Drosophila melanogaster: one gene and its partner. The protein of the gene in region 1 purifies or fractionates together with the protein of each later gene. This does not show direct contact. Each region holds a gene or a part of one and is shown on either strand. Other genes may lie near its edges.

Evidence for each region.
Region 2: the proteins of cta (region 1) and ric8a purify together in Drosophila melanogaster (affinity purification with western blotting; one study listed by BioGRID). This does not show direct contact.

Annotation. Positions count from the first base shown.
Region 1 is NT_033779.5:22,976,905-22,988,014, reverse strand, and holds the start of cta (concertina), read right to left. Parts: upstream 6,200-11,110; 5' UTR 5,818-6,199; coding exon 5,422-5,817; intron 1-5,421. UniProt on the Drosophila melanogaster protein: May play a role in a signal transduction pathway used during gastrulation. Required specifically for the ventral furrow and posterior midgut invaginations, where it is necessary for coordinating cell shape changes.
Region 2 is NC_004354.4:9,251,294-9,262,724, forward strand, and holds ric8a (ric8a), read left to right. Parts: upstream 1-4,874; 5' UTR 4,875-5,003; coding exon 5,004-5,084; intron 5,085-5,149; coding exon 5,150-6,790; 3' UTR 6,791-7,909; downstream 7,910-11,431. Other genes in the region: CG17754 (uncharacterized protein), read left to right, coding at 1,235-2,278, 2,358-2,565, 2,624-2,746, 2,820-3,056, 4,335-4,427; Erk7 (extracellularly regulated kinase 7), read right to left, coding at 10,144-11,431. UniProt on the Drosophila melanogaster protein: Chaperone that specifically binds and folds some, but not all, nascent G alpha proteins prior to G protein heterotrimer formation, promoting their stability and activity.

The DNA of each region.
Region 1 (11,110 bases):
TGTTTGCCAGCACAGCCTTACACCTACGCGGCATGGAGTCCACCAGGTCCTGGCAACGTTTGGGGGTAATTTTTGCCTACATTTTATTTTGGGTAAACCGATCTGTTTACGTGTTTCGGATCGTTATCCAGTTGGAATGTCCATTTTAAGGAAATATTGAATTCAGTATATGACAGTAGGACATCACTAAATATATTTACATATGCGTTTTGGTCTATAATACCATAAATCAAATGTTTTGGACTCATAACATTGTAAAAAGAAAACAAACCCATACCAGGATTTTACGTCCACCATGATTGAAAGTCTTGAGTGGGTGTTTTGGGTGGTACTCCGTGAGTGGAGGTCGTCGGACATACTATGGTAAACCAGTTCCACCAAATAGCACTATTTTTGACTCATCAGTCCAGTTTGACTGGCCAGTTTAGGTAGGTTTTAGAGAAGTTTAACCGTGCCTAAATATGCCTTGGGCTATGTAGGGGCGCCATTCGTGGACTCCTCGCACTTAAATTTTGATTTAGTAGTCGTCTCCAAATTATACCATCTCTGATTTCCCAGTTCAGCTCAGTCTTTACGTCCCTAGAGGATGCAAAAGGATTGACTTTGCTGTAAGTAACAATGCGTCGATCCTCTATATCTGTGGTTGTACATATGGAACCACGGTTCGGGCTTCAATTCATATTTAATGGAATTGGAATCAAAGATTTTTCGAATTTATTTATGTTTCCCTTCCTTTCTTAGCTTACTAATTAAAATTCTATTCTCTTGGGAGCAGTGCTGTCCTCTACACACTAAAATAGAATTGTTTTTATATATTTTCTTTAATTTATTGCCCTTTTAAATATTCAAATTAACGTAACCAAAATCTCTGTTTAGAATATATGCTTAAATTCTTGACTTTACGTAGGTCAAAAACTGAAACTGCTATTCCAATAATGAACAAAGTTGTAAATTTTGCTCAAGAATGTAAAGAAAATAAGTAAAACATGAAAAACAAACGGGATTTTCTTTTTTTTTCTATCTACACATTCCATTTTACAAAAATAAGTGGAATAAAAAGTCGATTCCGGAAAAGGACATGGGAAAATACCTGTGTATTTATTAGTTTCTCTTGCGCTGCTATTTCATTGAACACAGGTGTATATGGAAAAGTATCCTTTGAGTGAGTTGCTGCTGGAACTAAAGTGCCCATTTTGTATGTATGTACATTTTCGTACTCTGCGAAAGTAAGAGTAAGCAGAAAAGCAAACGACGAAAGGTATAGAAGCATATTTCCATACATAGGTACATATTTCCATCTTTGTATTTAATTATTATATTTTTATGTTGTTATTATTATTAATTATTCACAATACAGTTATGCATATATTGTCTTGCAGATGATCGCCTACATTTTTTTTATGGTTTGGCAAACGTTTTTTAATGCTGATATTTAATTTATGAGTTTGGCAAACGTATTCTCTGAGTATACCGATATTGCCTTTATATGTATTTTCTAAAGTACAGCTTTTTTCAAAATTCTAAATGGTGGGCAAACGATGTTATTGTGATTGTGAAAAAGTCAACTTTTTGATTTTCGAACATTTTTAAACCTTATCGAAATTTCAAATTCGAAAACTGGACGTGGGCAAAAAAAATTGGTGGGCAAACGATTTCAGCATTAAAATTTCACAAATTTGATTTTTCCGAAGCCAGCTTCTGTTTAGGCAAGCTGTAGGTTTTGGCTAGATTTAAACAAAGCGATTAATACATACTTCTTATATCATTGGAGAGGGTTTTTTGATTTGTTTAAACGCAGGTTACATTTTCTACCATAATTATTTGATATAAAGTATATACACTGCGCGTCATCAGATTAGCGCCCCTGCATGGCTCCGTTTCTTTTTATGTTCTGTATTTAGCCATTGCACGAAAATATATCAATGTTATTGTTTTTTGTTTACTGATACTCCCTCTCTCTTTGAGTATAAAAAAGAGGTCCTGAGAAGAACCGTTATCTTTCTAATTCTGCTTTGTTTTACTTTTGAATAACTTCCATAATTTGAAAGGTAGGTCAACAAAGAGACAATGTTGTATGCTGTTAAGTTGAAAAATTTGCTCTAATTTAGCGAAAAAATAAGAAGAGGGACGCTGTTATCCTTGCAGGAAAAATTCGAAATCATAGCTTTCTTTGAATGCGGGCTGCCTTTTCATAAAATTGCAGAAAAAACCGACAGACATCTCAAAACTGTAGACAATTTTATTAAAAACGAGCAAACTTATGGAAAGAACTATAAAAGCGGCAATAACCTTGTCTTTAACGCGGCAGATCGCATGTCCATGTCGAATACATTGCAATTCCCACGAGTCCTCCGCCAAAATTCGAAAAAAAAGTGGTGAAAAGCAGTTGAAATCGTTAATTCAAAGGGTGATTAAGAAAGCTTATCATTTAAAACACGAAAAACTGCAAAAAAAAAAAACAACTCTTAATAAGTTGCGAAAAAAGCACGCCTGAGTTTTGCTCGAGCTCACATGACCTGGTCTAAGGAGTGGCATTATGTCGAATTTTCGGACGAGATGAAATTTAATTTGGAGGAACCAGACGGCAATTGTCATTACTATCATGATTTGCGTAAAGAGGAGCACATTTTGGATCTTATTCACAGTCGGGTTGAAGGTGTCATGGTATGGGGCGCAGTATCCTATTATGTCCCCTGTGATTGGAAGTTTTTAACACCAAAAATAAACACGAAAGATTATAAGTGTGTATTAAAAACTGCATTTCCCTACTTTAAGAACGTTTTTGGAAATCTAGAATGGCATTTTCAGCACGACAATGTCCACACGTTCGGTAAAAACATGGATTCGAAGCGATAATGTAAAAGTTATGGAATGGCCACTATACTCCCAGGACCTTAATACAATAGAAAACGTGTGGGGATGGTTGGCTGGGAAGGTATACGAGGGTGGTAAGCAATATGTCACTCAAGAGAAATCGATCACCGGAAAAAAGTTCGGTTGGTCTACGATTACTTTGGATTACCTAGAAAAAATATATGATTCACTTCCCAGACGAATGTGTGAAGTCCTTGAAAACAAAGGAGAAGCAACTAATTATTAGTTTTCTTTAAAAATATTAGATTTTAAACATTTAAGTGATAATCATCTAACTTTTTTCGAAATTAATAAAAAAAAACCTAAATTGTCATAGGGGCGCTATCCTGATGTTTTTTTTCTGGTGTTTTTGTTTTTCTTTTTTATTTCAACAAAAATCTATAAACAACAAACTGCATCCCATATAAACTTTTCATTTATGAAATTTTACAACTTTTAAGGGAAAAAATTTCAAAAACTTTCGCTTAAGCAGTTTTCTAAATGTCTCACATCAAAGATTTTTACTCAAGGTGCGCTAACCTGGTGAGGCGCAGTGTACATATGTATATTATTCATCAATATGAACAAGCGAATCGAAATATTCATGCTTGTCCGACCGTTTCTAATCAAACTAGCCTCTTGTCCAAACCTCTTCTTTCCATTGCACGAAATATAAGAGATGGAGCAAGATTTATATTGTTAATTTGTTTTATGAATGGATTAACAAAATATATGTGCAAAAGTTTGTGTTATGCTCATAACCGAATTATCGGTCTAAAACCTTGTTCGTTTCCGAGAAAAATCGACTAACACGTCAAAGTAGAAAATTAGACCTGGTTGGGGCCGGTGAAGAAATTCCATGAAATATCTTCAATTGTTTTTTCAAAAACAAGACATTTAAAAACATTCCCTGACTCACCCAAAGTAAACTCCTTACCCTTTCTGTGAACAAGAAACTATTACCCTTGAACAAGTCATTGAAAAAAACTCTGCATGCTTATAAAAAACAAAATGTTGTTCTTGAATGGAGATTTATTTTAAAAAATGCCTATAACAATTAAGTCCGTTTTGCAAAAGTATTTGATAGACTGTGCCTGGCAAAAATTTTGTAATGTGGACCATTATAATGTTTTTTAAATGATGATGCAGCGCGGGCCGGGCTTTATTTCAAGGCCCGCGGGCCTTTGCCAAAAAAATTGGGTTCGGGCCTCAAATTCGTCTTTCGTGCCCTAAGAAAAAAGCCCGCAGGCAGAACCGAAAGTTAAACTTGTTTGTCACAATCTAACAGGCGAGAACATCCTCAATAACGTTAAGGAAATTATGGAAGAATACAGTTTGGATTCTAATATCGATAAATCTATTTTGTTTGTGATCGGAGAAAGTATTAAAGATGTGCGCCAGTGAAATGCTCGATTCTGAAACCATAATTCAGCTGAAAAATAATACGTTAAATTCTTTACATAAAAGATGTGCACCATAAACGGCACATTATGTTGGACTCTTCTTAAATTCTCCCGTTAAGGAAATGTGTTGCTTATCGCCAAAAGTTAAGGAGAATGTAATTGTAACTGTCAAAGCAATGCTTTCAGAAATGCAAAGTGATGAGGAGTTTTATAGGATTAAGAACTGCAAGCCCAGATAAAAAGGGGTTAGGACTGTTTGCAGAATTTCAGGATTAAAAATTTTTCAAAAAAACTTAGTTACAACTAAATTCTTATGATATTGAAATAGAAAAATATTTAAATGGCTGTGCAGCTACTTCAGACCAAAATGTGTTAGAATTTTGGAAATGTAGTGAACTCAAGTTATTGAATTGCCATTCCGGCAAGCTCAGCGAATAGCAAAAGATTATTTTCTACCTCTGGAATTGTATTAAATGAGCGATGTACACGTTTAAAATGTTCTAATTTAAAAAAAAAAATATTTTTAAATAAAAACTTGTCATAAATTATGTTTAAAACACCAAAACTGTACTAAATATTAAGTTTTTTGCAATCAACTTTGTTTACAAAATATAAGAAATATAAATATAAGAAAACCGACATACTTTAAATTAAAAAAAATTGCATTGTTTTTATTTTTTAATTTGTTCGTGTTTAGCTTGGGCAGGGCCCCGGGCTTTTTTTGGGACTAGGTTTCGTGCTCGAGACGGGACGGGCCTCAAGAAGTAGGAAGTCTTCCATTACCTAAGTAGCGTGTATCTTATACTTGCGGAGCTCACAACTATAGGATTTCTCTTGTTTTTATATTTTTCGGTTACAAATATATAGCGCTTGTTGTATGTATGTATGTATGTATGTACATATATACTACTCGACCGACTTGCCTAGTCCTGTTAATTAAGAACACATACGTATAATTCTAGAATTGTTAGCAAAAAAACGTAACTTTTTAAATTAAATATATGCTTATAACATTGTACAGAAATTACATTTTAAACACATTATAATTTTTCCGCCATTGTACATAGACTTTAATTTGTCGAATATCTCCTTTACTTCGTTGTTAACATTTAAATAAAATAACCAACAGCAAGGGTTAGAAATCGATATCCCTAAATCACCTTACCTGACGTCGAAAGGTGTGTTTTTCTTTTTCCAGGAACTTATCAATCTCTTTGGACTTGTAGCGCTGCTCCAGTTCCTCAGGGGTACTACGCAGCCTTACTAGATATGTGATAATATTTCCGCAACATCGAAAGCAAGCAAAGCGCGAGGTCTGAAGCCGACTGCCCTGAAGTCGCAGTCGCTCTGCTCCATTCGATATTAGGCCGTCTGTAGACGTGGTCGCTGCTTCTGGTCCAGTTACCGCTCCCACCCGCGTGCGATGCTCTTCCATAAGATGAGTCAGAGTACCACTAAGCGTGTCACTATCTATGTTGTTTTCGACGCCGTTCGTGATGACATTGTTGTTTGGAATGGAAATTCGTTCTTGAGTTAATTTGGTCAATGTAATGCCAGACATCGCTGGCAAGCCAACGCCTGATGCTCGCACTTTCTATATACACACACGAACACCAATACGTCAAACACTCCCCACACTAACAGCAGATGCTCATCGTCTTGCTTTCGCTTTAATTTATAAACAAACACTTTTTGAATTCTGCATATTCTAATTGTAGGCCTCATATTAGATTAAAAGGCGATGTTGCCATCTGAAAGCCATAACCATTATTTCTACATGGCATCAGACTTAAACGCAACACAAATTCCGGAATAAAGTTCACACCAATAAGACACTGAACGTGATCGTTATTAGGTTATGACACTCTCAGCCATTACATTTACGTTTCTTTAGGAATATAATTGTAATTATATATGGAGCAAACAACAGCGGTGATAATAATTTTTGCCTGTATATAAAACATAAACATTCGTGTCAACTTTGTTATACCATGTTCCCACAGATCAGTTTTTCGGTGAAATTGGTTCCATATGTGAACCAATTTGACAATATTATAAGCAACAGGTCCAGCTCTTTAGTGTAAAGAATTATTAAAAACAAATTATTATATCGGGTTTACCAGGAATGTAATTTATAATTTAATTTTAAATTTTAAAGCATATAAGATAAAAAGAAAATGAGAAGAAAATATTATTCTTTAATTGGGAACAAAACAAATCAGTTACAATAACATTAATAAAAAAATTGGTTGTAGAATATTTCTTTAAAATTAAAACTTTATTTTAATGAAGTGACTTTTGGAGAGGGCACGTTCCCTTATAGGATGACCTGTATGGGATGAAAATTAAAAAAAAAAAAACATTTTTAACTTTTGCTATGGATACAGTAGCATTGATTGGTTTAATTCGCATTCTGTTTTATTTCGATATTAGGTTGATCCAATACACTAAAGCTAGGTAAGATTCAAAAAATATTTTTATATCTTAATCTTAATATCATGGCCATTAGCTTACATAGAGAAATAAATAAATAAATATTTATTCCGTTTTGCGTGCTCGCCACCTGTGTTTAAGATTTTTGGAATTCGTTTAGATTCTTTGTAAGGCTGTCAACTAATTAAAGCTAAGCTTAATATTGTTTAAGAGAGCTGGGCAGAAGGCTTTATTTCGGAAGCGGTGATCAGACTTGATGACAGCGTACTGTACTTTGCATCCGTCTTATAGCCCGGGGTGCAGCATGGCCGCCCTGGACGGCGGAACTACCAGGGTTCGAATAAACAATGTCACATCGAATTCAAACATTTTACACAATGTAATTCCGCAAGGTTCGCCAATTTCTGCGGTTTTATTTATGATTGCAATTGAAGAAATAAATAACATTGTAACTCGGCAAAAATATATTTACATCTCACTTTACAAAAATAAAAAATATTCATACAGTCAGCACAAAATTTTTAGAAATATTGCACGAAAATACCTCTCTGCCATTGAAAAATGCCAACTATTATAATTTGACGGAAAAAACGTTGTAATCTCTCCGCACAATAAATGATGTAAACTTTTTAAAAAATTTGGGGATGACCTTCGACTGCAAACTACTTTTCAAACAGCACTGTCAGATTCAAAGAAAACAACTGGAAACTAGATTTCACATTATTAAATTTCTATCATCTAAATATTCGTACATATAACTAAGACTCTCATAGATATTACGATTACGCACGCATTAATGCTATTTAAAATTGACTACCGTCTTCCAATCTGCGGCAGGCTAAGTGTTGGCGACAATACAAGGACAAAAGCAGGCTAAGTGTTGGCGACAAAAACAAGGGCAAAGGCAATGCTGTTGAGATTGGAGTGTGAAATTTGCTTATCAAATGGGCAGAGTTTATATTATGGGTTGGATAACTTGGCGGAATTCCGCGTAGAAGAAACTACATTGATGCTAATCTCGAAGCTGTACACCACGTCCAACTGCCTGCTAACCCATGACTTCGGAGCCATTTTCAAGCAAAAGCTGAATTTTTAATGCATATCCACTCTAACACGTTGCGCTGACTACATCAAGCAACTTGACCTCACCCTGCCTATGCACATTGGGGTTTCAAACAGCCTTCAGATCTACAAAGCTGAAAAAAAAGAAAGAAAAAGAAAAACTGAATTAATACCAATGGTTCTAAAGTCAACGACTCAACCACTTTTGTGGTCACCTTACTCTGGGTTCCCAATCATCAAGGAATCCACGGACTCGCTGACAACTGACAAACTCGCTGACAAAGCCGCCCAAGAGATGAGACTTACACCATCAGCCCTTTTGACTCTGCTTAGCTGCAAGGATATCCAAAGCTATACCTCAAAGAAAAGAGAACTCTCCGAATGGGCACTCTTAATGCACAGTTACCAGATTATTAAGCCAAATTGGATCATGTTCAAGCCACTACCGAACGTACAAGTTATTGCCCTACAGTTTGAGCAAAGACACTAGAATAACAAGATGCGTAACGGCCATACATTGGTTTGGCACTATGCAGCCACTTTTTTGGTGACGGCCAAAATTGCTCTCTTTCCGCTCGCTCACGCTGAGAACGTAAGAAATCTAAAAATAGAATTTGCTTGCTTGTGTGAGTAAAAACAAGAGACGGGAACGCGTATATGTGTGCGTGTTGTGCTAGAAGACGATTTTCGGGCCGAAATCAATTCTGATCGAAGAAATGAATTTACATTGTACATATTAGGGTAGTTTTTTTTTTTTGCCAATTTCGTAGCAATATGATAAAATAAAATAATTTTTAAAAATTTGCGCCCTGACAATTATAATTTTAAAGCTTTTTAAATTTGTTTGTTAAAATCGCCGCTCGAATTAGCTACCGTTTACACATTTATATTTATGTTTAATTCTAATTTGTCTCTCATCTGACAATTTTTTATAAGCGAAAACAGTGATGAAGTGCTCGCCACAAAATCTTCTGTAAATTGGCATTTTTCCGCCCATCTTATTAGCATTGTTGGATCCCTTTCAGGAAATCTAAACAATTTAAGAGCGGGGAAATCGCGCCTAGATTTCCGATAGTGGGATAAGCTGCACTTGTTCCCACTTATGTATCTTCTTTTTTTCTTGGCCATATCCATAAGATTATTCAAATGGGCCATTAAAATGTTTTTTTCTTTCACTTACAATTTATAAATTTCAACTCAAAACTTTGTCGAAAAGCAGCAGCACGTTATTTTAGCGCGTCAAATTACGAAAATACGTAAACACTATTCACTATTTATCACAATTACTATTTGCGCTTATATTTTTTTTCGTACTTTACTTTTGCAACAAAACGACTTTAGTTCAATATAAATTCGATTATATAGCGAAAATATCAAAAAATTGAGGAGCTCTGCGTATAGCCAACTTTAAGCAAACGGGCTAAGAGAAATTAAAAGGAAAAACAAAAAAAATTGGCGCGCTTTTCTTCCCACCCGAAATGGCGCGCTTTTTAAAATTATTGAATTGGAATATAACAAAAAAAAAAAACATACTGAAAAACAACTGAATCTAATGTGCATTTTAAATAATAAAAATGGATCATTAACATACATAAATCATATTAAGTCAAATGACTTATTAAATATACTAAATAATTAAAGGAAGTAAAATATAAATTATTATAACTACTGTAATTAAAGATTAAAAATTTTACAAAAAGAAGACATTACATTGAGAAATAAATAATTCATAAAAATAATACAAAGTAGAAAATAAAAATTTGTAAAATAAATAAAAATATGAAAACTTTTTATTGCAAAAGACACTAGAATTATTCTTTTGAGAGGGGAGGATGGTCGAGTTTCCGAGACATTATCGTTAAAAAAATCGGTCTCCCCTAATAGTGAAGCAATAGAAGCCTTCAAGAAATTAAAGTGCAGTTTGGTTTCTGCAGACGTAATACTCCACTACCCAGACTTTAAAAAAGAATTTCACCTAACAACGGACGCTTCCAATTTCGGAGTAGGCGCTGTTCTTTCACAAGAGAACAGACCAATCTCATTTTTATTGAGAGACGGAAGAAAATTATTCCACAAATGAGAAAGAAATGTTATCCATTATGTGGGCTCTAAAAAAGCACAACATTTACTTTTACGGTAAAGCAAAGGTGAAAATCTTTACTGACCATCAGCCTCTGACCCATTCTCTGAGTAGTTCGAATGGGAATGCGAGGACTTAAAGATGGAAAGCATAACTTGAGGAATATGACTATGAGATTTTCTATTAACCGGGCAGAGAAAATATTGTAGCCGACGCTCTGTCCAGAGGGCCGACAGTCGAACAGATAAACACAGTAGCCTCATCAATGCACCTCTCCGATAGTTCGAGCCATGGGCTGATACGTTGAAGCCCCGATAAGTGCAATCAAATTTTCTTCAGGAAGTCCGAGTCAGAGAATTACTCATTCAACATTCCATTCCCTACATAAATTGTTCACACCGGTTAGTCTCTTGTCAGATTTGAAGGAATATCTCAACCCATTCGTGATTAATATCCTCCGAGTTGTGGATATAATGGGGAAAATACAAATTCTCTACCCTATCCATTTTCAGGGTTTCAAGATTAGATTCTCTCAAACTAAAGTTAAAGACCTTGTTAACGAAGCCGAACAGGAGGAAGACATACTTAGGACACACAATAGAGCACACAGAAATGCTGTGGAAATTAAAGCTCAGTTCTCCGAAAGAATATACTTTCCTAAAATGTGGAAAAAAGGTACGGCTATCGTGAGTCAGGGTTTGGTGTGTAAGACCGCGAATATGACAGACATCTCACACATTCAGAAATAAAAGAAACTCCCTTGCCAGAATACCCCGGACAAATCCATATCCATCTACTCGACAGAACGACATCTGGTGCTCACGGCAATTGATAAATTTTCAAAACTGGCTATGGGAAATTACATTAAAAGCTGTAGAAGACATTAGGAGAGCCTTAAGAGATATCGGGTTTTATTATGGAGTGAATTCATGTTGACAGGCCAGCTGGGCCTGGAACATCTCGATAGAGCCATCTAAGAGCCACTGTTCACTCTGTCACAAAAAAACGAACCCTAGAGGTGTTCTTCGGTAGGATAGCTACCGTGGCTCCGGAAAAGTACGAACAAGCTAGACTGGACAATATAGACCGAATAGGGTTAATACAATGTTAGGTACTAAGCTATCAAGTAGATTTAGGAAGGAACTAGTTAAGACTTCAAGCAAGGAAGTACTTCAATATTAACAGAATCAGGAAAATTAGTACTTAAGCAAAAACATTTATTGCCCTACAAGCGATTCTCTCACATCTTGTGTTTCTTCATTGATTCTGGGTAAACAAA
Region 2 (11,431 bases), on another chromosome or scaffold:
CCAGCTGACCTTCACTTGGGTTCTTTGTCTGCTCTCTTTGCTTTTTGTTGTTGTGGTTGTGTTGTGTTGTCCCCAACGCAATTTCAACAGCGCACACTCACACGCAAGATAGTAGCAACACGCAAAACCAGGAAATGCAGCTGCGGCCACAATAATAGCAACCAAGAAATGCAAATACAGCTGTTTTACAAATAATTGCAAGAAAAAAGAGTTTAACAAATCTGGTTTTCACTTTTGAGTGTATACTTAATTTCTATTTGCACAATTGCTCATTTTAGGTCGGCTTTAATTCACTTATCTCAGTGAGCATGCTGACGCACAAAGTTAGTTTAGTGAATTTTATTATTTTGACAGTAGCTGCATATCTACAGAATTAGCTGTGCATCTATAAAAGTTCAAAGTTTAAAAAAGATCCAAAAGTATTGGTTAATACTCAATGATTCGTTGTTGGCAATATTTTGACAATCGATCGAGTTTTATTGCATGTTTACTTAGCATTCGTTAATGGTAAACTTCTCAGCGTTTATTTTTGCATTGTTTGGAATTACACTATAGTTTATGTCTAGAGCCATTCATTTTTTGCTTGTTTGCTTATCAGCAAATGTGCCGATAAGCAGACCATTTGTTTATTACATCAATAATGATATCGGTTTGGATAAACTTGATTGGAAGTAATCTTGGTAAAGTGAAAAAATAACAAATTACTTGCATTTATCCGTTTCAAAGATACTAGTGAAATCCTTAATGTCCTTCTATTGTGACCGCTGCTGTGCGCATTGTTGCAATAGGAAGATAGGGGAAGAGAAAGACGGAGCAAAAGAGATCCCCATTTCGAGCTCCAAAGAGTGAGAAAGAGAAACAGAGGGTCCCCATTATGTAGATTTTGTTTTTGTTCGTCGAACAATGGCGATGCAACGCAACTGAGAGGGAAGTAACCGTCTCAGAAACAAAGACGAACACCACGGAGAGGCAACAAAAACTGCAGCATGGAAAGATACAGATACAACGATTCGCGATCCAAGTGCAGTAGTTGCAGCTCTATTTGATTTCGCTGCACTCAACCGGTTTTGGATCGTGAAAACCTGTCGATCTGTGCCATGGTAAACAAAGGGAAAAGAACCCACCAGCGTACAGTTGCGGTCACGAAAGTAGTGACACCACAAGCTAATATTTTTTTTCGGATTAACTCTTGCGAAAGTGTCCACAATTCAAGGATTTCACTTGGCTCTTTCAGGGTGCCCGCCCACCGCCTGGTGCTATCGGCGTCGAGCGCCTACTTCTCGGCCATGTTCACGGGATCGCTGCGCGAGACCAAGGAACAGGAGGTGACCCTCGGTGAAGTGCACGGCGATGCACTGCATCTGCTGGTCCAGTACTGCTACACCGGGTTCATTGAGATGCGCGAGGACACCGTGGAGACGCTGCTGGCCACCGCCTGTCTGCTGCAGCTGAATGCCGTGGTGACCGCCTGCTGCAACTTCCTGGCCCGCCAGCTCCATCCATCCAACTGCCTTGGGTTCGCCTTCTTTGCGGAGCAACAGAGCTGCACCACGCTGCTGCGTCTGGCGCAGGCCTACACCTGCCAGTACTTTATGCAGGTGTGCCAGAATCAGGAGTTCTTCCAGCTGAACGCCGATCAGTTGGGCAAGCTGCTTAGCAGCGATGATCTCAATGTGCCCTCGGAGCAGGATGTCTTTCACAGTCTGATGTCGTGGGTGCGCCACGATTCCGCTGCCCGTGAGCAGCACATACCGGAGCTGTTGGCCCTGGTGCGACTGCCCCTACTGCAGCCAGCGTTTATCATGGACCACGTGGAGAACGTTTGCAATGCCAACGAGTGCCAGCAGCTGGTTATGGAGGCATTCAAGTGGCACCTGATGCCCGAGCGCCGATCCCGGATAGCCACCGAGCGAACAACGCCGCGCAAATCCACGGTGGGTCGTCTCCTGGCCGTCGGCGGCATGGATGCCCACAAGGGCGCCATCAGCATCGAGAGCTACTGCCCGCGTTTGGACAAGTGGACACCGTGGAAGCACATGACCGGTCGTCGACTGCAATTCGGCGCTGCTGTCATGGAGGATAAACTGATCCTAGTGGGCGGACGTGATGGGCTAAAGACCCTGAACACCGTAGAGAGTTTGGACCTGAATACAATGGCCTGGGCACCGCTCAATGCCATGGCCACACCCCGTCATGGACTGGGCGTGGCGGTGCTGGAGGGTCCACTCTATGCGGTGGGCGGTCACGACGGCTGGAGCTACCTGAACACCGTGGAGAGGTGAGAGGGCAATGAATTTGATGAATTGATGGATATGTACATATATGTATAATTGTGCAACTGAGTAAACATTTTCCAGATGGGATCCCATAGCGCGCACTTGGAGCTATGTGGCACCCATGTCCTCGATGCGTTCCACCGCCGGCGTGGCTGTCCTGGGCGGTCGCCTGTATGCGGTGGGCGGACGTGATGGTTCCGTCTGTCATCGCTCCATCGAGTGCTACGATCCGCACACGAACAAATGGAGCCTACTGGCGCCGATGAACAGGAGACGCGGCGGCGTTGGCGTGAGTATCCTCTAAGCATATCCTTAGTGGTCTTTCTCTTAATTACCTGCCCTACCAGGTGACGGTGGCCAATGGTTTCCTGTACGCCTTGGGTGGCCACGACTGTCCGGCCAGCAATCCAATGGTCTGCCGCACGGAGACGGTGGAGCGCTACGACCCAGCCACCGATACCTGGACTCTGGTAAGCTGGGATTGGGTTATGTGGTTCCCTCAACCTCATCCTCACTTCTAATCGATGTCATCTCATTCCACAGATCTGCTCACTGGCTTTGGGCCGGGACGCGATCGGCTGTGCCCTGCTGGGCGATCGCCTGATCGTCGTCGGCGGCTACGATGGCAATCATGCGCTGAAGAGCGTCGAGGAGTACGACCCGGTGCGCAATGGATGGAACGAGCTGGCGCCCATGGCTTTCGCAAGGGCCGGCGCCTGTGTGGTGGCGATTCCGAATGTCATACCGCCGGCGGCTCAACAGCCGCCGCCCAGTGCTACAGTTTAGTCCAAACCCAATCCACTTTCGGTTGCAGTGTAGGCTCGTTAATTGCATCGCTTATTTCGGATAGAAGGGCCAGATGTTTGGAAACGATTTGCATTTAGCACCCAGCCAAATTTATACGCGAAATTCCTATTAGATACCCATTATTTGGGTAGAGCTTTATAAATTGCATTTAATGTTAGTAAATTTGTCAAGATGTTTCGCTCGGCAGTTAATGCTGCACACAAACTGTAGATTTTATACCTTTCTTGCATTAATCTTAAAAATCCAAACATTCCACGTTTACAAAAGATATTTTCCCAAATTTACCAGTTCATGTAAAGCATTTCCATTTACTTGTAGATATTAAGGAACTTTAGGAGGCAATAATCAAAAGTAGTTTTATAAGTAGCGTGGTCTGAAAGCGATGCACTTAGCGAGAGAGCACTGCACCCGTTCTATAGTAGTTGTTGTTACTGTTGCTGTGAGCTGCTCGTGGTTGTTGCTCGTGTTTCCTAACCCGGCAAGTTTGAAACTGCAGCTCACCTTCGCCTCGCCTCGCTCTCGTCTGTGTTCTGACATGATTCCCTGTGGTATGGCATACACCCAGAACTCACCCACTTTCCGCACCGCACACCCCAACCCAGTATTTTCCCCATAACTCTGCTCTTTTCGGCTTGAATCTAAAAATAAGTAAATCAAAAAAAAAATAAAAAAATCAGTGAAATCTCATAGGATTTAAGAAGTGCATGTTGCGAGGCTTCCAGTTCCAATCTAAAATCGATCCCTAGCTGTAATTAACCAACGTATTTTACACGATACCCTAGTTTCTAAAAATTTTCCATCCCACTCACACCCCATGGTGTCGTACGCTTCACACACTGCACGCCATCTCGCTCGCACCGGTGACGGGCCCACATTCCATATGCATAAATCGTATACACATACTTATATCCTGACAAGACTGCGCCAAGCCAAAATTCCAAAAACCAAAATTGCTCATTTTTGCATGTGAAGTGTGCGAAACCATTAGAAAAACAAAACAAACAAAATCAAAAAAAAAAAAAACGAACGAAAACAATCAAAAAGACAACTGCAATTGCTTAGTTTTAGTTAGTAAATACTTGTCCCATGGAATGATTATATTTCGACTTTTGCATCGTCATTTTGTACCGATATTATTCTTAGTAAATACTAGATGTGTGTGTGCGTACAGCGAGCATTTATTTCTAATTGTTTATTATGTTTTTATTTCTTTCTTTTCCCTTTCCCTTCGATTGCATTTAAAAATTAAAGAAAAAGAAGAAGTGGAAGCCAGTGAGATTGGATCCAATCTGCTATAATAGGCGTCCCAGATGTGTCGAGTTTGTCGACTACTATAACATGTAAATGCTAGACAGACAAGACAACAAACAAAGCAAACTATAAACATTTAAGCCAAGCTAAAAGAAAAAACACAAGAAAACTTGTCAAAAAAAAAAAAAAACAATCCAAATATTACGTATTATTTTATATTTACACATATATATATTTTTACACAAAACATACACTGCGAAATGTATACACTGGATATGTATTTTTTGTAATAAAATCGAAAATTAAACGGTTATTCGCTGCATTTGAAAAACCGAACATATAAAATAATACTATTTTGTCGGTTAAGCGGGGATTGCTCTTTTAAATGGGTAACTTCAAGTTTCTTGATTGTATTTAAATATTTGAAATAATATATTTAAATTATCTAACTTTCTGATTGGAATACGATTTTTTTTAGAATATTAGTGGTAAGGGCGTACCGATAGTTGGCATTCGATGGTTGAGATATCTGGCAACGCCCCGTAGTATATTAGATTAGAACGGCAAAGGTGCGGTCACACTGGCGGAAATTATAAAAATTAATTAAATTAACTTAAACGACCTAAAAAGCGAACTCAACGACAGCTTTGAACGGCCACCGTTGGCGACATGGAAACGGAGCACCTGAAACGACTAGAGGCCAAGGAGGCGGACCACATTCCCGCCATCCTGGACGAATTCAACACAAAGGTGAGCACTGCCAGCGGTTTCTCCCGAAGATTCAACCAGATTATATACCCTTCCTTCTGCCGTAGAATGCGGATCTGCTGGTCTTCGACAGTTTCCGCACAGACAACCTGTGGCACGAACTGTGGCTGGCCATCTTCGGCATATTGGACGACCAGCGGCTTAGTCATCTGCATACGCAGTGCCTGAACACGGTGAGGATTCTAACGCGTGACGAGTTCAGCCTGCAGACGAACTACATCGAACAGGAGGTTAACACCCTGCTGAAGCTGGCTAGGATTGAGGCCGGCTCACTAAAGCTGCCAGCCACGCCGGACGAGCTTAAACAGGAGGAACGCGAGGAGCCCCAGCTGGAGCCCAGCCAGGCCCAATCGGAGGTGATTGCCGAAGCACTTAAGTGTCTGTGCAACTTGGTCTACCAGAGCTCCGACTGCAGGCGCCAGTGCCTGCGGCAACACTGCCTGGATGCAATCCTGAAGAGGGTGGCGTCCTCGATGCGACATCCCTGTGCGTTGGAGTACTACGACATGAAGCTCCTCTTCTTGCTCACTGCATTAGAGCCAGCGGCGCGCTCTCGCCTCCAAATCGATCTGAATGGCCTCACCTACATGACTAAGTGGCTGGACGACAAGCTGGGCGAAGACTCAGTTGGCGAGGAGCAGCTGAACATCATCTGCGAACTGCTCAAGGTGATGTTCAACGTGACCAGTGCTCCGGACAAGAGCCCCAACGAATACGAAATCCAGAGCTTGCATTTGACGGGAGTGCTGAGGGAGCTACTCCTGCGTTTCGGCGACTTGGCCACAGAAAAGGATCGCGCCGTCGTCACACACGCCATCAATCTGCTGACAAACATCTCCGGCAGCTGCCTGACAGAACTCACCCTGCGTTGCTCCAATGCCGAGTTGGAGTCGCACAAGGAAAGAGAGCAGGACAACGAGAAGGAAAAAGATACAGAAGCTGGAGCGGGAGCCAAACCCCGTGAGTGCTGCTCGCAGTGCTTCGAAAAGCGCAATGTTCGGAGTCTGGACGTGCTACTCCGCTACCTAAGGCAATCTCTGGCCCAACAGGAGGCCGAGGCTAGCTCGCATGAGTTGCTTTCCCCAGTGCTGACCGTGCTGGTGAAATGTGCGCGCAGCGATCGAGTTATGCGTCACTATCTACGCCAGGAGATTCTGCCGCCGCTGCGGGACGTTAGTCAACGACCTGAGGTTGGTCAGGAGCTGCGCAATCATCTGTGTCGGTTCCTTACACTGCCCGCGATGATCCTACGAGATCTGTCCGCCGAACTGCTGTTCGTACTGTGCAAAGAAAATGTCGGCAGGATGATCAAATATACGGGCTATGGCAACGCAGCCGGGCTCTTTGCCAAGCGGGGTATACTCGACTGCCGGCGAGTGGAGGGCACCGACTACTCCTCCGACAGCGAGGACAGCGACACCGAGGAGTACAAGCAGCAGCAGCAGGGCATCAATCCAGTCCTTGGCTGCGTAGAGCCGCGCAGCAAGTCGCATCTGGACGACATAAGCGAAGAGCAGAAGGAATACGAGGCTATGCAGCTGGTCAATCTCATCGAACAGCTGCGTCAGGGCGGGATCGTAAAGCCGGCGATGATAGACAAGGACGGGCGCCCGCAGCCGCTGGAACACATCCTTCAGCTGCAGGAGGAGCTGCCGCAGCAGCAGCTCGACCAGAAGCGGAAAACCTAAGCCACAAATGTATTGCGGGATCTGCTATGGCACAACTTCCAAATAGCTACCAAAAAATCACCTTAAACTCTGCATTTATTCCATAAGTTTACTGTCGAATGTAGCTTCGAATGTGTTCAAAAAGCAGATTTTTTTTTTTACATAGTTTATATATTTTATACCACATATTCGAGAACATCTCATTATAACCTACAATTTGTTAACCAAAAATTATCCAATCTGGCTTTGATTTCAGTGATCAGCTTTTGTCTAAATGCCATTATTATTAGTGTTAGCTAAAATAATTATAATCTATCCAATTAGCTTCAATTCGTAGATAAGTTCGGTCTCCCAACTTTTACAGAATTTCTTTAACCATTAACCATGTAGAACGTTGTACTTATTAAGTTATTACGCACTTCGTTGTTATTTTGTTGTCCCGTGAATTGTTCGCACTTTTAAAGTTGATACCATGGCATCCCATAACGTACGGCTTGAAAAAAATAACTAAATGCAAAACAATCGTTGGGGTCTTCCAATTTCAGGAAGTAGGGAGCAGATGAACATCAAATCTGAATTCATTTAAATACACGCCCACACTATAGGACAACTAGGACGACTTTTCATTTTAATAGTTAAGTGCATGTATGTATTATATTTATAAAATTCCAATTATACACTTAGGATCTAGGAATGAAAGCTCTTATTCCGATTCTCAGTTTTCTATTACAAATGATGTTGCATGTGTGTAACACTAACTATAGCTCTAGAATCGAACTAAACGAACTACAAAGTCTATCTATGACAGACGGCAGTGAGGAGCACTTGAAGAGCCATCAAGTTGTGGATGTCGACACGGCCATGCAACCAACTATCCCATCCGCACATTGTTCATGTCCATGTCTAATCTATGTTGTAAATTCCGCATAATAGGGTAAAGGAATAATTCCAAAACTTTCTAAAAGTTACGTGTCTTTGATCTATATACAAGAAATCCTATCTAGAGCTTTATTGTGTTCAATTTGCTATAGCGATGATACTAGTAGATCAACTTATATACATCAAAACATAGTAATATTTTTTGTGCGAGTCTAAATGTACGGCTATCCTAAGCTTAACAATAAAATAAATCAATCAAGGTCATGCTATAATAATCAAGCCACATATTTTCCGATTCATAATGCTTTGAAACTAAATTTTAATTATTAATATTGAATCAGAGTTATAAGGATCGACTCCTCTCCGGCGAGGAGTCCGCCTCTTGAATGTCGCCCTCCATGGGCCTCATGTGATCGAAGCGAGCAATGTAGCTGGGTTTGTGGTGGCGATGGCGGCACGCCTTGTGGCAGTCATTTGGGATTTCTTCTTGGTCATTCTGTTCCAATTTTCGGCGATACTTTTCCTCCTCCCTGCGCTCATCCAACCAAAACAGCTCGTATATGCGGTCGTGCCGCTGGAGTTCATTCGCTCGCTCCAGATCTTTTTCCTTCTGCTTCGGGGGGGTGTATTTGAGAAAGTAGTCGGCATACTTGCTGTCGTTGTCCCGCCCCGGGGAATGCACCGGCTCCGATCCGATCAGCTTTATCGAGTCATTCTGCTGATCCTTCGACAACGATTCATCCGCCTTCTTTTCAGTATGCCCACACACCTTTTCTTCTATCTTCAAGGGTTCGCTCTCCGCCTCAATGCGGCGGCACTGGTTCTCCTTTAGCTTGAGCTCCCGGTTAATCTGCCGCCTTTCCTCCCTCTGCAAAATCTCCATCTGCTGGCGATGCTCCGCTTCTGAGGGAAACCTATCCCTTGTGAAGTAGAACATGCTATGGTGTCTCTCTTTGGGTTTCTTCTCTTGGCACGTCTTGTTTGAGTAGCGATTCTTTGGAATCATACAAGAGTCCCATTGTATCATCCTTGAAGGGCTATCTTTGATGTTGTCCTTCTGGGTCTGAATCGCAGTTTGAACATGGGCCTTCGCTTCGGTATGGAATTTACGTTGAGACTGTGCCTGCGATTGCACTTTGCTTTTCTTCTGGCGAGCCGCGGCTGCCGCGGCCGCCACGGCAGCCAATTCCCGTTGGATCGCCGCATTTTTGTGTTGGCATATGTGCACAGATTTTCGCTGTGCAGCAGGAGCAGTAGCAGCAGCAGCAGGAGGAGCTGCAGCTGGAGGAGCAGAAGCAATAGAGGCTTTCTTAACTGCAGACTCCATGTGGTTGATCTCCTTCGACTGTGCCTTATGTGCAGAGCCCAGCAGCTTAATGTTCTTGCGCGACTGGGTCACCTCGACGGAAGATGGCTCCTTCTTCCATTCCGCCGGGCTCGTGGTCGATTGTTTGGCACTCATTGCAATGTGGTGGGATTTGGATGAGTTGAAAATTTGTGATTCGGCAGGCAGTTATGTGAATTATGTTAATATGTATGGTTGGGCTGGGTTTAGTGGGTCTGCTGTCATGGAACTAATATTACACTTAACTAAAGGCACACTTAGAATTTTGAATATTCACATTCTCATACCACACAGACAGGAATTTTTAAAACTATTGTGATTAAATGAAATTTGTGGTTCGAAATGAAGAATACTGACTGAGATACCGCCTCCAAATCGATCTAAATGGCCTCACCTACATGACCAAGTAGCTGGACGACAAGCTGGGCGAAGACTCCGTTAGCGAGGAGCAGCTGAACATCATCTGCGAGCTGCTCCTGCGTTTCGGCGACTTGGCCACAGAAAAGGATCGCGCCGTCGTCACACACGCCATCAATCTGCTGACAAACATCTCCGGCAGCTGCCTGACAGAACTCACCCTGCGTTGCTCCAATGCCGAGTTGGAGTCGCACAAGGAAAGAGAGCTGGACAACGAGAAGGAAAAAGATACAGAAGCTGGAGCGGGAGCCAAACCCCGTGAGTGCTGCTCGCAGTGCTTCGAAAAGCGCAATGTTCGGAGTCTGGACGTGCTACTCCGCTACCTAAGGCAATCTCTGGCCCAACAGGAGGCCGAGGCTAGCTCGCATGAGTTGCTTTCCCCAGTGCTGACCGTGCTGGTGAAATGTGCGCGCAGCGATCGAGTTATGCGTCACTATCTACGCCAGGAGATTCTGCCGCCGCTGCGGGACGTTAGTCAACGACCTGAGGTTGGTCAGGAGCTGCGCAATCATCAGTGCCGGTTCCTTATACTCAAGGCAATCTGGCACAAAAATATGGATCACTGCGGGTTTTTGTACGAAAAAACGTTCCGTCTTTATAAACCCAATAGAAGTTACAATATAAAATAGATAGAAAAGATCTACGACAAAAAGAATCTTCACTCATTGCATTCGCGTTTCAAAATATATGTATGTATATTGTGTCAAGATTGGGACAAATATTCTAGGACATATCAGTTGCTCTCCGGCAAGGAGTCCGCCTCCTGAATGTCGTCCTCCGTGGGCCTCATGTGATCGTAGGGAGCATGGTGGTTGGGTTTGTGGTGGCGATGGCGGCACGCCTTGTGGTGGTGAACTGGGAGTTCTTCTTGGTCATTCTGTGCCAACTTGCGGCGATATTTTTCCTCCTGCCTGCGATCATTCAGCCAAAACAACCCGTATATGCGGTCGTGCTCCCGCTGGAGTCCATTCGCTCGCTCAAGATCATTCCAATTCTGCTGTGGGGTGGTGTATTTGAGAAAGTAGTCGGCATACGTGGTGTAGTTGTCCCGCCCCGGGGAATGCTCCGATCCGGAATCGCGTCCCCCACTGTCCGGTGCGGGGTTGAGTTCTTTCCCTATTTCCTTATATGCTGTATAGTACTTAGCTCTGTAGGCGTGGTCCAGGTCGAGATTATCGTACTCATTGGTCTCGTCGCGGGCCAAGAACTCTTGCACCTGGCGCTGGCGCTCCTTTTCTTGCTCCTGGCGAAAGATCTCGTAGTTTTGGGATCCGGGACCACCAATGCCCTCCGGCAGGGCTCTTCTGTCATCCTCATCCTTCTCATCACTCTCCTTTGACCGCTGCAGCTTTTTCAAGTGGGTGCTAACGTTCGCATAGTTAAGCACATCCGCATTCAACTCGACAAAGTCCACCAACTCCTCCGTGCACTTCTCCATCTCTAGCTCCAGGTGATGGATCCGTTCGCGGACGCATGTGCCAAAGGTGATCGAATCCTTCTGCTGATCCTTGGACAACGATTCATCCGCCTTCTTTTCAGTATGCTCACACACCTTTTGTTCTATCACCTTGATCGTCTTGGACTCCTGTTCAGTTGTCTCCTTCAAGGGTTCGCTCTCCGCCTCAATGCGGCGGCGGTAGCTCTCCTTCAGCTGGAGCTCCCGTTTCATCTGTCGCTGGTACGCCCTTTCCTCCCTCTGCTGGCGATGCTCCGTTTCTGAGGGAAACGTATCCCTTGTGATGCAGGACATGCTATGGTGTTTCTTTTTATATTTCTTCTCTTGGCACATCTTGTTTGAGTAGCGATTCTTTGGAATAGGCGCTTTAGCTTCCGTCAGGCTCTGGGACTCTTGTATCATCCTCGGAGGGCTATCTTTGATGTTGTCCTTCTGGGTCTGAATCGCAGTTTGAACATGGGCCTTCGCTTCGGTATGGAATTTACCTTGAGACTGTGCCTGCGATTGCCAGCTGCTTTTCTTCCGGCGAGCCACGGCTGCCGCGGCCGCCACGGCAGCCAATTCC